3 linked regions of the Mus musculus genome follow. The protein of the gene in region 3 purifies or fractionates together with the protein of the main gene of each other region. This does not show direct contact. Links are inferred from orthologs where the notes say so. Each region holds a gene or a part of one and is shown on either strand. Other genes may lie near its edges. The genes, in order: Mfn2, Mfn1 and Marchf5.

The links.
Region 1: the proteins of Marchf5 (region 3) and Mfn2 purify together in Homo sapiens (affinity purification with mass spectrometry; 5 studies listed by BioGRID and IntAct, counting the BioPlex papers as one, with this or other methods). This does not show direct contact. The link is inferred for Mus musculus from reciprocal best matches to the Homo sapiens genes MARCHF5 and MFN2.
Region 2: the proteins of Marchf5 (region 3) and Mfn1 purify together in Homo sapiens (affinity purification with western blotting; 4 studies listed by BioGRID, with this or other methods). This does not show direct contact. The link is inferred for Mus musculus from reciprocal best matches to the Homo sapiens genes MARCHF5 and MFN1.

What each region holds. Positions count from the first base shown.
Region 1 is NC_000070.6:147,873,901-147,877,547, forward strand, and holds part of Mfn2 (mitofusin-2), read right to left. Parts: intron 3,186-3,647; coding exon 3,051-3,185; intron 1,559-3,050; coding exon 1,489-1,558; 3' UTR 1-1,488. UniProt on the Homo sapiens protein: Mitochondrial outer membrane GTPase that mediates mitochondrial clustering and fusion. Mitochondria are highly dynamic organelles, and their morphology is determined by the equilibrium between mitochondrial fusion and fission events.
Region 2 is NC_000069.6:32,528,173-32,532,294, forward strand, and holds the start of Mfn1 (mitofusin-1), read left to right. Parts: upstream 1-1,309; 5' UTR 1,310-1,523; intron 1,524-3,725; 5' UTR 3,726-3,732; coding exon 3,733-3,844; intron 3,845-4,122. UniProt on the Homo sapiens protein: Mitochondrial outer membrane GTPase that mediates mitochondrial clustering and fusion. Membrane clustering requires GTPase activity. It may involve a major rearrangement of the coiled coil domains.
Region 3 is NC_000085.6:37,220,962-37,224,608, forward strand, and holds the end of Marchf5 (E3 ubiquitin-protein ligase MARCHF5), read left to right. Parts: exon of another isoform or gene 1-115; intron 116-428; coding exon 429-545; 3' UTR 546-3,496; downstream 3,497-3,647. UniProt on the Homo sapiens protein: Mitochondrial E3 ubiquitin-protein ligase that plays a crucial role in the control of mitochondrial morphology by acting as a positive regulator of mitochondrial fission and as an important regulator of immune response.

The sequences.
Region 1 (3,647 bases), on a different chromosome or scaffold from region 3:
TCCCCCCAGAAAGAACACAACATTCACTGGGACTACGTGACACTGATTTTCACGTGACCCACTGTGAGATGACCCCATCTATCCAGCCTGGCAATACACTGTCTTTCCATTACATGCTGACCTTGGCCAAGACCATCACTGTCCCAGCAAAAAGGGTAGACTGAGGGGCGAGTGAGCACAAGACATGGGCAGGAGAGGACATAGCCCATTTTTTTATCTCTAAGATACTCTCTACCTGTCCTACAAAGGATTCATCACTCTAAAACTGCTTTCCCAAGACAATCAACCTTGGTGACTGGCATCCTCCCTGCTTTGACCATTAACAATTTCAACACTCAACAGTGAGAAGTTCAGCACTGACTGAGGTGGAGGAGCAGCAGCAGGAGGCTTCAGGGGCAGAAGAGGAGGAGGCCTGCCTGAGGGTGGAGGCAGGAGGAGCAAGCAGCAGGAGGCTTCAGGGGCAGAAGAGGAGGAGGCCTGCCTGAGGGTGGAGGCAGTAGGAGAACAGCGGCCAGGTTCTCATGCTGTTTTGTAGCCAGCTGCAGTCATCAGCACGGTACAGTCCAGAGAATGGTGGCCACAGGGAGCTTGTAGCAAGGCAGGGATGAGCCAAAATTAGTGAGGTGCACCTCACAGGTTTGTGAACCCCTCAGTGCTAGGTCAGATAGACAGACCTCTTCTGTACTAACCCGGGCAGCTCCCATCTTCCACCATTCCTCCTGCTACATCCTTTAACCACCTGGAGCAAACTAGCTCTCACTAATAAACCGGACCAACAGGCCAAGAGCTGAAGGAAAAGCAAGGGCCTCAGTGGCAAGAAGGGAGGCAAGTCCCTTGTCGTCACAATGCCAGACACCAACTGCACTACCACATCAGATACCCTAGTTCACATACCTTCTCCGAGCCCTTACTGTGCTCTGGCTGGCAGGGGTCTCCAGCTTCCCATATAAGCTGCTTGAGTCTAAAGCCCCGGTGTGTTGAGCCTGGCTACCAAGCACAACTGAAAGACTCTGCAAGTGGGAAAAAGTGCTAAAGCTGAGGGCCAAACGCAAGATACAAGTTCTGAGACAAACATGGCAATTTCAGAAGTATCCTGAATTTTTCTGGGGCATCCTGTCACCCCCAACACTGTCTCTCTGTAGGTGTGCTCAGGCTGGAGAAAGTAGGAGTGGCTGCCTGATGCCTGTGAAGGCGCCCATCAGTCATTCTGCAGGGTGCCATTCTGAGGAAAACTTTATCAAATGCACAGTGACTTTCAACCGGGTGAGCGTGAGGAGCAGACACAGACACATGCATAACTCCTTGGAGCCGAGCTGTCCAGTCCTTGTTGGTCTCCATTAGGGTATGAGCCAGGGGTCTTCCTGCAGGGGGTAGGGAGTAACTGGTACAAGACTGGGTGCTTTCCTTCTCTCTGCAGCGGCCAAGGACTAGAGCTGATGGGAGGTGCGGCCCTGCCTCTTCTTCGTGCAGGTCCGCCCTGGCTGCCCACTATCTGCTGGGCTGCAGGTACTGGTGTGTGAACATGTTGAGTTCGCTGTCCAACCAGCCAGCTTTATTCCTGCAAATACAAGATGACTGTACAGACAGCTGCTATGGCAGACCACACTAGCCTATCTGAACTTTCATGCAATCCTTTAAAAGGACATTTTCCTATTTTGGAAATAAGGAAAAGGAGGTCACAAGCTGATGGGACAGAGCCAGGCAATTTTTAAAAGGAGTGAACTAAGACAGGATCTCACTAAGTAGCCCAGGCTAGCCTGGAACTCACAGCCATCCTCCTGCCTTACCTTCCTATGTCCTCTGATTTTAGGAGTGAACCACTACTGCAGGTTTTAGGTTTTTCTAGTTTGGTTACAGCCCAGAGCAAGTTTCAGTTTCTGGAAGCCAGCTTTCTTGATTGACAGATAAAGGTTTGGGTGTTAGCTCAGGCTATCTTTATTGCTACAGGTAGCAACAGACACTTGGACCCAAGAGTCCCAGTGGAAGAGCAGTGTATCCCTGGTGATGGGCAAGAGGTGCATATTGCGTAGGCCAGACAAAGGAGGGAAAGACCACTGATCTGTCATGGCTAGAGCTCAAGTCCTCTGATTATCTAGCTCTGTCCCCCGTGGGCCTCTGACATCAGAGGTGGGGGCAGGAAGTGCAGCTCCCCATATACTGATGTTATCATGGCCTGAGCAGGCTAAGGAATTAGCAGAATACTTCTATTTTCATCTGTGGCTCATCTCACAGATAAAAGCCACAGGAGAGACACAGGAAAGCTGAAAGAGTGCAAGGCCAGAACACAGAACCAGACTCCTTCAACTAACCCCCCTCCCAGCAAACTTCACAGTTCTAAAGAGACCACCAATCCTGTTCCTGTGGAGAGACTTGGTGCTACGCACCCCAGCTCCTGGGCTCAGCATGGAACTGAGTATGACTGATAGGATGGCAGCTCTCACACAGAGCAAGGGAAACCAAAGTGCAATCCATTTGCACCCCACGTTCCATCTGGCCATTTCCTGTAGAGCTCCAGACAAGGGACTCAGCCTCCATGGCTACCAACTTTCCTATTAGAAAGCAGAGCTGATCTGGGTGTGGTGGCACACACCTTTAACCCCAGCACTGGGGAGTAGAGGTAGGGGGAGCTCAGTGCATTTGAGACTAGCCTCATTCATATGGCAAGTTCCAGCCCAGTCAAGGCCACAAAGAGATCCTGTCTCAAACACAACAAAATGTGCAGAGCTGATGACCTATAGGGGTGACAAAAACTGGGTGGGACAGCTGTGCCAAGTGCTGAGGCCCAAGTTCAGAGGGCAACCCATGAGCTGTGACATCCAGCACTGCCTTGCTTGTTTCCTGGATGTCATTCTGCCCCATCTGCAAGCACCTTGAGGACAGCGGAACTGTCTGTTAAGCCTCCAGCACTAGCACTGTCCATCCCACGTTCAGCAGTGCCAAGCAAACATCTCACAAGAAAGCGAAATCCCCAGAGAGCACCCAGTGTCCACACTGGAGACACCAGGTGGCAGACAAGCTCCACCTCCCCCACTTGGTCCTTGGCCACTCACCTGAGCAGTTTGGCTCTGCTCTGAAGTGAATCCAGAGCCTCGACTTTCTTGTTCATGGCAGCAATTTCCTGCTCCAGATTATCTCGGGTGATGTCAACTTGCTGGCACAGATGAGCAAATGTCCCAGACAATTCCCTGAGGGGACAGAGACTGGATCAATTGGGCACATGGCGGCTTAGGCAGGATTCTTCTATTCATGGTTAAATCTACACAGAACTGAGTAGCAGCTGAGCAGAGCTTATCCACATCTGCTCTGGCCTGCAGTCCTGCTTTTGGGATCTTTTCCCCCTCTGCTGAAACCACCAACACCTCCCAATGCTCACATCAAAGACCCCAGCATCCCAGTGGTGAGCCTAACCTGGAAACAAGAGGCCAGGATTCTAACTGATGCTCATCAACTAAGTGACAAGGAAGGGACTCATCTCCCTTATCTGAGTCTAAGTTTCAGTGTCCTCTGTGTGTGTGTGTGTGTGTGTGTGTGTGTGTGTGTGTGTGTGTGTGGTGTGTGGGGAAATGCTAGGTATTAACTCAGGCCTTCATTCATGCAAGGCAAGCGCTCTTCCGACAGAGCTATATCCCTAGTCCCATCAGTGCTCA
Region 2 (4,122 bases), on a different chromosome or scaffold from region 3:
ATCTTCAAATTTAGGCAGAGTGAGAGCACAGATCTGAATTCTAGCACTTGGGAGGCTGTGACAGCGGGTTTGTGAGTTCTTTTTGTTGTTGTTTTGTTTTGTTTTGTTTTTTGTTGTTGTTTGTTTGTTTGTTTGTTTTTTTTGGAGACAGGGTTTCTCTGTATAGCTCTGGTTGTCTTGGAACTCACTTTGTAGATCAGGCTGGCCTCAAACTCAGAAATCTGCCTGTCTCTGCCTCTCGAGTGCTGGGATTAAAGGTGTGTGCCACCACGCCCAGCTCATGCTTGTTTTTTTAACTCATCCATTTTAGCACTGTCCTTCCTATGTGTCTTGGACAGTTTTTCTCCAGATATTCCCAGTAACAGTCCTGAAATGACCTGAGAAATGACATCCTTTCAGAAAACACATACCTCTTTGGCTCCACCTTGCTCATTTTTCTTCACTCTATCCTCTTGTCCTGATCTCCCCCCCCCCCCATAATAGCAGTCATAGTCTGAAATGATCTCATTCACTGTATTTATCCAACTTTTTTATCCAACTTTTATTTTTATTTATCCAACTTTTGCAGGTGCCCATCAATGTTTTAAGCACTTTACACCCTAACCCATTTACTTTCCCACAATTCATGAAGTAGGCATTTTTAGTATTTTATAGATGAGGTAGCTGCCATTCATATGGATAAAGGGGCTTCCCTGGCAAAAGCATCTCATTTGCTAACTCTGTAAAGAACCTCTCAGGACACATGCTGTGAAACCTCTCTTGGAAGGTGGAACATGTAGAGTCCTTGGGCTTCACCCTCGATCAATCAATCAATGGTTTAACAAGATTCCCAGGTGATTCCTAACAAAGTTTAAATCATGAACAATTAATTTTCTTGAGTAATACCTCTTACAGTAAGTAGACACACACAGCTCACTCCAGTAACCCCAGAAAACCAATCAAGACCAGAGCAATTGGAAAAGTCAAAGTTTTGACGACCCCCCCCCCCCCCCCCGCATGATAAACATCTATGTGGTTTTGGGGTACTTCTCCCCCTACACCCTCAGATAACCATGGACATCTTTTCACACTTGGCGCCTTTGAGCTTTGAAAACTCTGAAGGGAAAAACCAAGGGGAGGAGTTGGAAGGTGGAACAGAAAACAGCCCAGTGGTTAATAAGAACTCCTGCCCAAAACAAACCTCGCCTTCAGCCCTGAAGGAAAATGGCGCCCGCAATATATGCAGTTCTGGTCTCGAAGCGTCAGCCAATAGGAGATCCGAAGCGCCGGAAGTAGCCGCCCCTAGCCCCTCCTCTGGGCACCTCCCCTCTTTCGGGAGGATGAGACAGCCAGGGGGCTGTGGCGGAGCTGTGGTTGCTGGGTGACAGTGGGGAGCAGGGACGGAGTGAGTGTCCGCTGGCGGGTGGCGACGTCCGGGGTGACCTTCGAGCTCCGGACCGGCGCAGCGCGAGCGCCCTGACGGGCCGGGGCGGCGGGCCGGGCAAGGGCGACGGGCGGCCAGCCTGAGGGAAGGCCCTGTCCAGGTAGGAATCCACCCGGCTGGGCAGGCTCTCGGCCCACGCGGCTTCCTCTCCCCACGCACCTCCTCCGCGCCGTCAGTTCAGGATTCCGGAGGGAGCCACCCTCCTGGTGGCCACGGCGCTTCTTTTCACGCACACCAGCGTTAGCGTGTGCTTGTCTTTGGTGGCTTTTCATAGGAGCTTCCAGGTAGAACGTCTTTTACTTTAAATTCAACATTCCTTTAAGTTTGGGGACTTTGGCTTGAAGCCTTCCTTCATGCCTTCTTTAAGTCTTGACTCCGTAATTGTGACGAAAGCTGCTACCTTCTTGGTGTCTGTACTGCATTAAGACTTGGGCATTCTTTTATTTTCTTCGCTAACTGGGAAACTTAGTTTAGCTAAACTAGTTTCATCTTCACTCGAGGAAAATAAATTAGGGATTACAACCAAGATTTTTGTTACTAGCTTTTACCGATTTTACATTTATTTACATATCTACTCTTCCAGGATTGAAGATTGAGCCCCTCCCAGGTCTCCCATGCTAGGCAAATGCCATTGTATCCCTAAACCGGTTTCTAAACTGAGTGTCACTGAGAGACCCAGGCAAGCCTTGATCTCACTCTGTTGCCTCTTGTAGACTTGAATTTTCAGCTTTTCCTGTGTGACACTCCTGAGTAACTGAATTACAGGTAACATGACAGGAGGCAAATTTCTCTTTTTTTAATGGGAGATCACTCGAGAGTAATCTTTGGTTTCTGACTAACATGGTTTCTGTAAATAAATAAATAATACTAAAAAGTATTTTATCTATTTGGCCAGGTTAATTTTTTGCTATTAGGAAATTGAGGCATGAACTAGCAGGTATCAGACTAAGCATGATTTTAAATGTTTGCTCTGTTTTTAGATTTTTTAATGTGTATGTTTTTCTTCCATATACGGATGCATGTTTCACCACAGTTTCTGCGCAGTGCCCTTGAGGTCAGAATAGGGCATAAGATCCCCTGGAACTGGAGTTACAGGTGGTTGTGAGCTACCAATTTAAGTCCTTCTGAAGAGCAACAAGTGTTTTAAAGCACTGAGACATCTGCCTAGCCCTGGAGGCATGCACATTTCATTTCTTCTTTCTTCTTCTTCTTCTTCTTCTTCTTCTTCTTCTTCTTCTTCTTCTTCTTCTTCTTCTTCTTCTTCTTTTGTTTTTGTTTTTGTTTTTTATTTGTTTGATTTTGAGACAGGGTTTCCCTGTGTGTCCCTGACTGTCCTGGAACTTGCTCTGTAGACCAGGCTGGTCTTGAACTCACAGACATCCAGCTGTCTTTGAGTGCTGGGACTATGCGCCACCACTGCCCTGTTTTCATATGGTTTTTAAAATTATATTTAACTTATATGTGGAAGCGGTAGACTTTCACAGTTGGTGTTTGGAGGCAGAGAACAACTTGCTGGAGTTGGTTCTCTCCTTCAACCACTTGGTTTCTGGAGGATTGAACTTAGTCTCCTCCACCTGAACTGTTTTGAGAGATTTTGAGTTTTTCGTTTTGAACAAGGTTTACCAAGGCTGGCCTGCTTCAGCCTCCTCCTGGCTGGGATCACAGGTGTGTAACACCACACCTTTATCATTCAGCTTTTTTTTTTTTTTTTAAATGTGTACGGGTATTTTGATTGCATATATATGCAACCAAATTTTGGTGTACCATGTGTGTACCTGTGTCTGTGGAGGCCAGAGGAGGACATCAGAACCCCTGGAACTTGAGTCTTAAGACAGTTGTGAACTGCCATGTGGGTGCTGGGAATAGAACTGGGTCCTCTAGAAGAGCAGCCAGTTCTCTTTAACTGCTGAATCACGTCTTCAAGCCCCTCATTGTTAAGTTTAAGTAGAGCTTTGGAGATGAGGAAAGCCCTGCTATGTCGCATTGTCCAGGTAAAACTGGACTTCCTGGTGTGAGTGCACCCCCTGCCTCAGCCTGCCCCAGTAGCTGAGACTCCAGGCATTTGTCATCCACAGGCTAATTATTGCTTTTCTTTTTTTTCTTTTTTTTTTTTTTTCTTTTTTTGGTTTTTCGAGACAGGGTTTCTCTGTATAGCCCTGGCTGTCCTGGAACTCACTCTGTAGACCAGACTGGCCTCGAACTCAGAAATCCGCCTGCCTCTGCCTCCCAAGGGCTGGGATTAAAGGCATGCGCCACCACGCCCGGCTTAATTATTGCTTTTCTAACCTTTTTCTCAACCTAGGTGCATAATGGCAGAAACGGTATCTCCACTGAAGCACTTTGTGCTGGCAAAGAAAGCCATCACTGCAATCTTCGGCCAGTTACTGGAGTTTGTTACTGAGGGCTCACATTTTGTTGAAGGTGGGTACCTCTTAAACTAGTAAGGTTACTGTTGAAAGTGTACGCAGGTGCTTTATTATTTCCACTTCAGTTTTTTATTTTACCCTTTTGAGATCAGACTTGCCTTGAAATGGCTGTGTAGCTTCCAATGGCTTTAAACTCTGTTCCACTTGCCTCTGCATCCACACAGGTATGTGACCTGCTCAGGCTTAGTTGTGGAATTCACATTGTTCTGCATTCTGGGAACTATGCCATAGTGAGTGAAAACAATTTCACAGTTAAGAAAAGAGTAAGGTACT
Region 3 (3,647 bases):
GTCCTGTGCCAGCTGCCTCCTGGACCCTCCCTGTGGGTACCTTCTCTTCTGGACTGCGCTCTGGGTTCAGTCCCCAGTACCAGCATCATAAATAAACAACTGAGATGAAACTGGCTCATACTGTTTCCTGTCATCCTGTTTGCCCTCCTTGGTTGCAGCCCACATAGTGCCTGGCATTCTCCTCTCTCTCAGTGTGTAAGAACTCCATGGGAAGAAAGCTACACAAGTGATGTAGGAACAGGGCCTCTTCCTTTGCTACTTGAAGCCTGCTCTTTCCCAACTTCTGCCCTCACAGAAGAGAATGTTTCACTTGTAATTATCAGCATTTACTTGGCTTCAAATCCTGTCTTTTGTGATAGGTGTAAAGTTCTTTTTCTTGTTTATCTGATCCTGCATTATAAAAACATTAATTTCCCTTTTTATTTTAGGGTGGAATTGCTTTTGTTGCCATAAAAGGAGCATTTAAGGTTTACTTCAAACAGCAGCAATATTTACGTCAGGCACACCGCAAAATCCTAAATTATCCAGAGCAAGAAGAAGCATAAAACTGACTTCTGGTTGTTCTGAGGCCTCTCATCCTGACGAGTCTGTTGTGTTCTGATTCCATCATTAATGCGCTAGTGGAGACTTGTGACGCTGCTCCTATATTCTAAGAGATACAATAAAGCACGCAGGGCCGGGGCAAGCCGCCCAGTAATCACGGACCTAAGGACACGCGTCAGCTCTGTCATTTGTATGTTCTACTTTTATGGCAGTCGGCTAAACCATTATTTTAGCATGGGAAACCTGAGTTTGTTCATATTTTTCCAGACAAGAATGTAAAGATAAAACTGTACAAACATTAAAAGTGGACATGTTTTATTCTGACGCCTCTTTTGTATATACTCAGTTCAGTGTTTTCTTAGGAATAGCAACTCGATGAAGGAACTGTGAGGGCTTTTCTCATTGGTGTAATTGATTGTATGCTACAAAGGAGCCTCTGTTAACAGGAGGAAGTGTAAACTAGTTCTGAATAAATAACAAACCCAGAAATGTATGTCAGCATTGAAGTGATTATCTGAACAAAAGAGATTTTGTTTTCTTTTCCTAAACCCATGTGACATCTCAGATGTGAAGGGTCAGTTTCCAGGGCTTCCAAAGCACTTTTTCACTATTAAACTTTATTTATGCAATGTTGACATCTCATAGTTCATAGTGTACTTTTGACTCGTAGTCGTCCTGTGTGTGTGGTGTGAGGGTGTGTGTGTGAGCGGGGAAGGGGACTTCAGAAAGAAGGTAGGAGGGAGGGAAGCAGAGGATAGTGATAGGGAAATGAGGTGGAAGGCCCTTTTATCACTTAGTATGTTTTTAAATTTGTATTTCTACAAATTAGAACTACTGATTCATAGGTTAAGCAGAGAACAACTTGCAAAAAATGATAATAAAATTATTGGGTTTCTGTTGATTCCGTTATTCAGATATTTGTTAACTGGCTCCCACTTACCTAGTCACTGTGCAGGTGCTATGGGATAGAGTTGGGGAACTTGTTCAGAGAGTCTGCAGTCTAATAGAACAAGCACTGATTGAACCCAAGGGAGCTCTTGAATATCAGTGAGGTAATTATGGAGTATTGATCAGGGTCATTGGTTTCCACTTTATCTGTTTATAGGATAGCCAATACTGTTTTTAGGGTATCTTGTTTTTGAATCAGGGTCTCTAGCATAGCTAACCTCAGACTTCCTGTGTATCTGAAGGTGGCCTTGAGCTCCTGATCCCTGAGCCTCCTAACTACAGGTGAGCACCACAACACCTGCTTTTCTAACTTAATGCTGTGGATTGAACCTAGGGCCTTACACATGCTAGGTATACACTACATCACCAGCCCTCCTTTTAGATTTTAGTTGTCATATTAAGGGGGCGATCTCCTTACTAGTCATTGTTTAACTAGTTTTATATTCATTGTTCAAAAGCAATTATTTAGGTCATGTTTAATAGTGACCATTACAATGTTCAGCAATCTGATTAGAATGAAAAATTTTTTTTAAAGATTTATTTATTTATTATATGTAAGTACACTGTAGCTGTCTTCAGACACTCCAGAAGAGGGAGTCAGATCTCATTATGGGTGGTTGTGAGCCACCATGTGGTTGCTGGGATTTGAACTCCGGACCTTCGGAAGAACAGTCGGGTGCTCTTACCCGCTGAGCCATCTCACCAGCCCCTAGAATGAAAATTTTTAAAGTTTAAAAAATAATGCTGTTCACAGTATATGATGCATGATAATGCTCCCCCTTTCTGCGAAATGGATACTTCTCTTTAGAAGTGTAACAAATATAGATTGAGCTGTGTTAGATTGTAAATAAATATTTTAGTAAAGACTGGTATCTTTCTCTAGGTTGGTTATCTCAGTTTTGAGTTTTACGGTGTCTGTGGGAATGACTCTTTTGAACATCCAGAGTTGTAATTATCTAGGGTATAAGGGGCAATTTGACTGAGTTAACCTTAACACTGCTGTTATTCTGTAGAGAAAATGTGAACCCTGATTATATATAAAAATAACTAAGATCTACAGCTGTAATTATGAAATTGGCTTCCATCATTGCCAGTGTGAAAATATATATATTCTGACATTTCCTGGATACTCCTGTTAAGTTGAGCAGCTTTTACACAGCCACAAGCCCTCAGCTCCCTGTGTACTACTTTAATTTCCGGGGTGGTGGTGGGGGGTGGGGAGCTGCTTGGATCGATCTATTGGCATCAAGGCCCGTGAAGGCAGAGGTTTATAGAGCTATGGGGAGGGAGCCACACTTGTCTGCAGTCCAGAGTGAACACTAGCCCTGCTGCATTTGAACACCACATGACAGGCCTCCCTGGAACCACAAATCAAAAGACATGGGCAGACTGAAAGCTGAATAGGTTACGTTGAGCTCCCATCAAGTTTTAGTAGCTGTAGTGTATAACCTTGGCCAGGTGGCTATTCAGCCACAGTTACGTTCATCTCTAAAATGCAAGTCACACCTAGACACTTTCTAGGATTTGGTTGAGAAAAGACAGGTACTTTCGGCCTCAGTAGCTCCTAAAGGTGGTCGTCCCATCTAGGACAGGGCAGTAACCAAGGGTAGGGCCCTCGAGGACAGAGCCAGCACAGACTTGAGGATTTGTGAGTATGCTGTTCTCCGATTTTCTTTCTTTTTCTTCCTTCCTTCCTTCCTTCCTTCCTTCCTTCCTTCCTTCCTTCCTTCCTTTCTTTTTGTCCTAGAAATGTCACATTTAAACCTTTTTTTAAAAAAATTAGAATTCAGTGATTAGTAAAATTCTATTGTAGAAGTTAACTCCATCTAAGTTGGCTGAAAATGTTCATTACTTACCAAATGGTTGAAGAATATATAATTAAGTGGCTTCATTAGTCACTGCCTTGCTAATTTTGCTGTATTTTTTTTTCTAATTCCTTGTTTTTAATATAGAAAACTCAATACTGGCTGAAATAGGTTGAATAAACAATTTTTATGCTCTCTAAGTGTATTTTGTCTGTTGAACCAACCCTAAACTTATTTCACTATTTTGAAGTTAAGTTTTAAATATTTATTTTTAGTTAAGTGTATCTCTATGTGGGTGTGTGCACATTGAGTGCAAATGCCTATAGAGTCCAGAAGGGCACCAGATTCCTT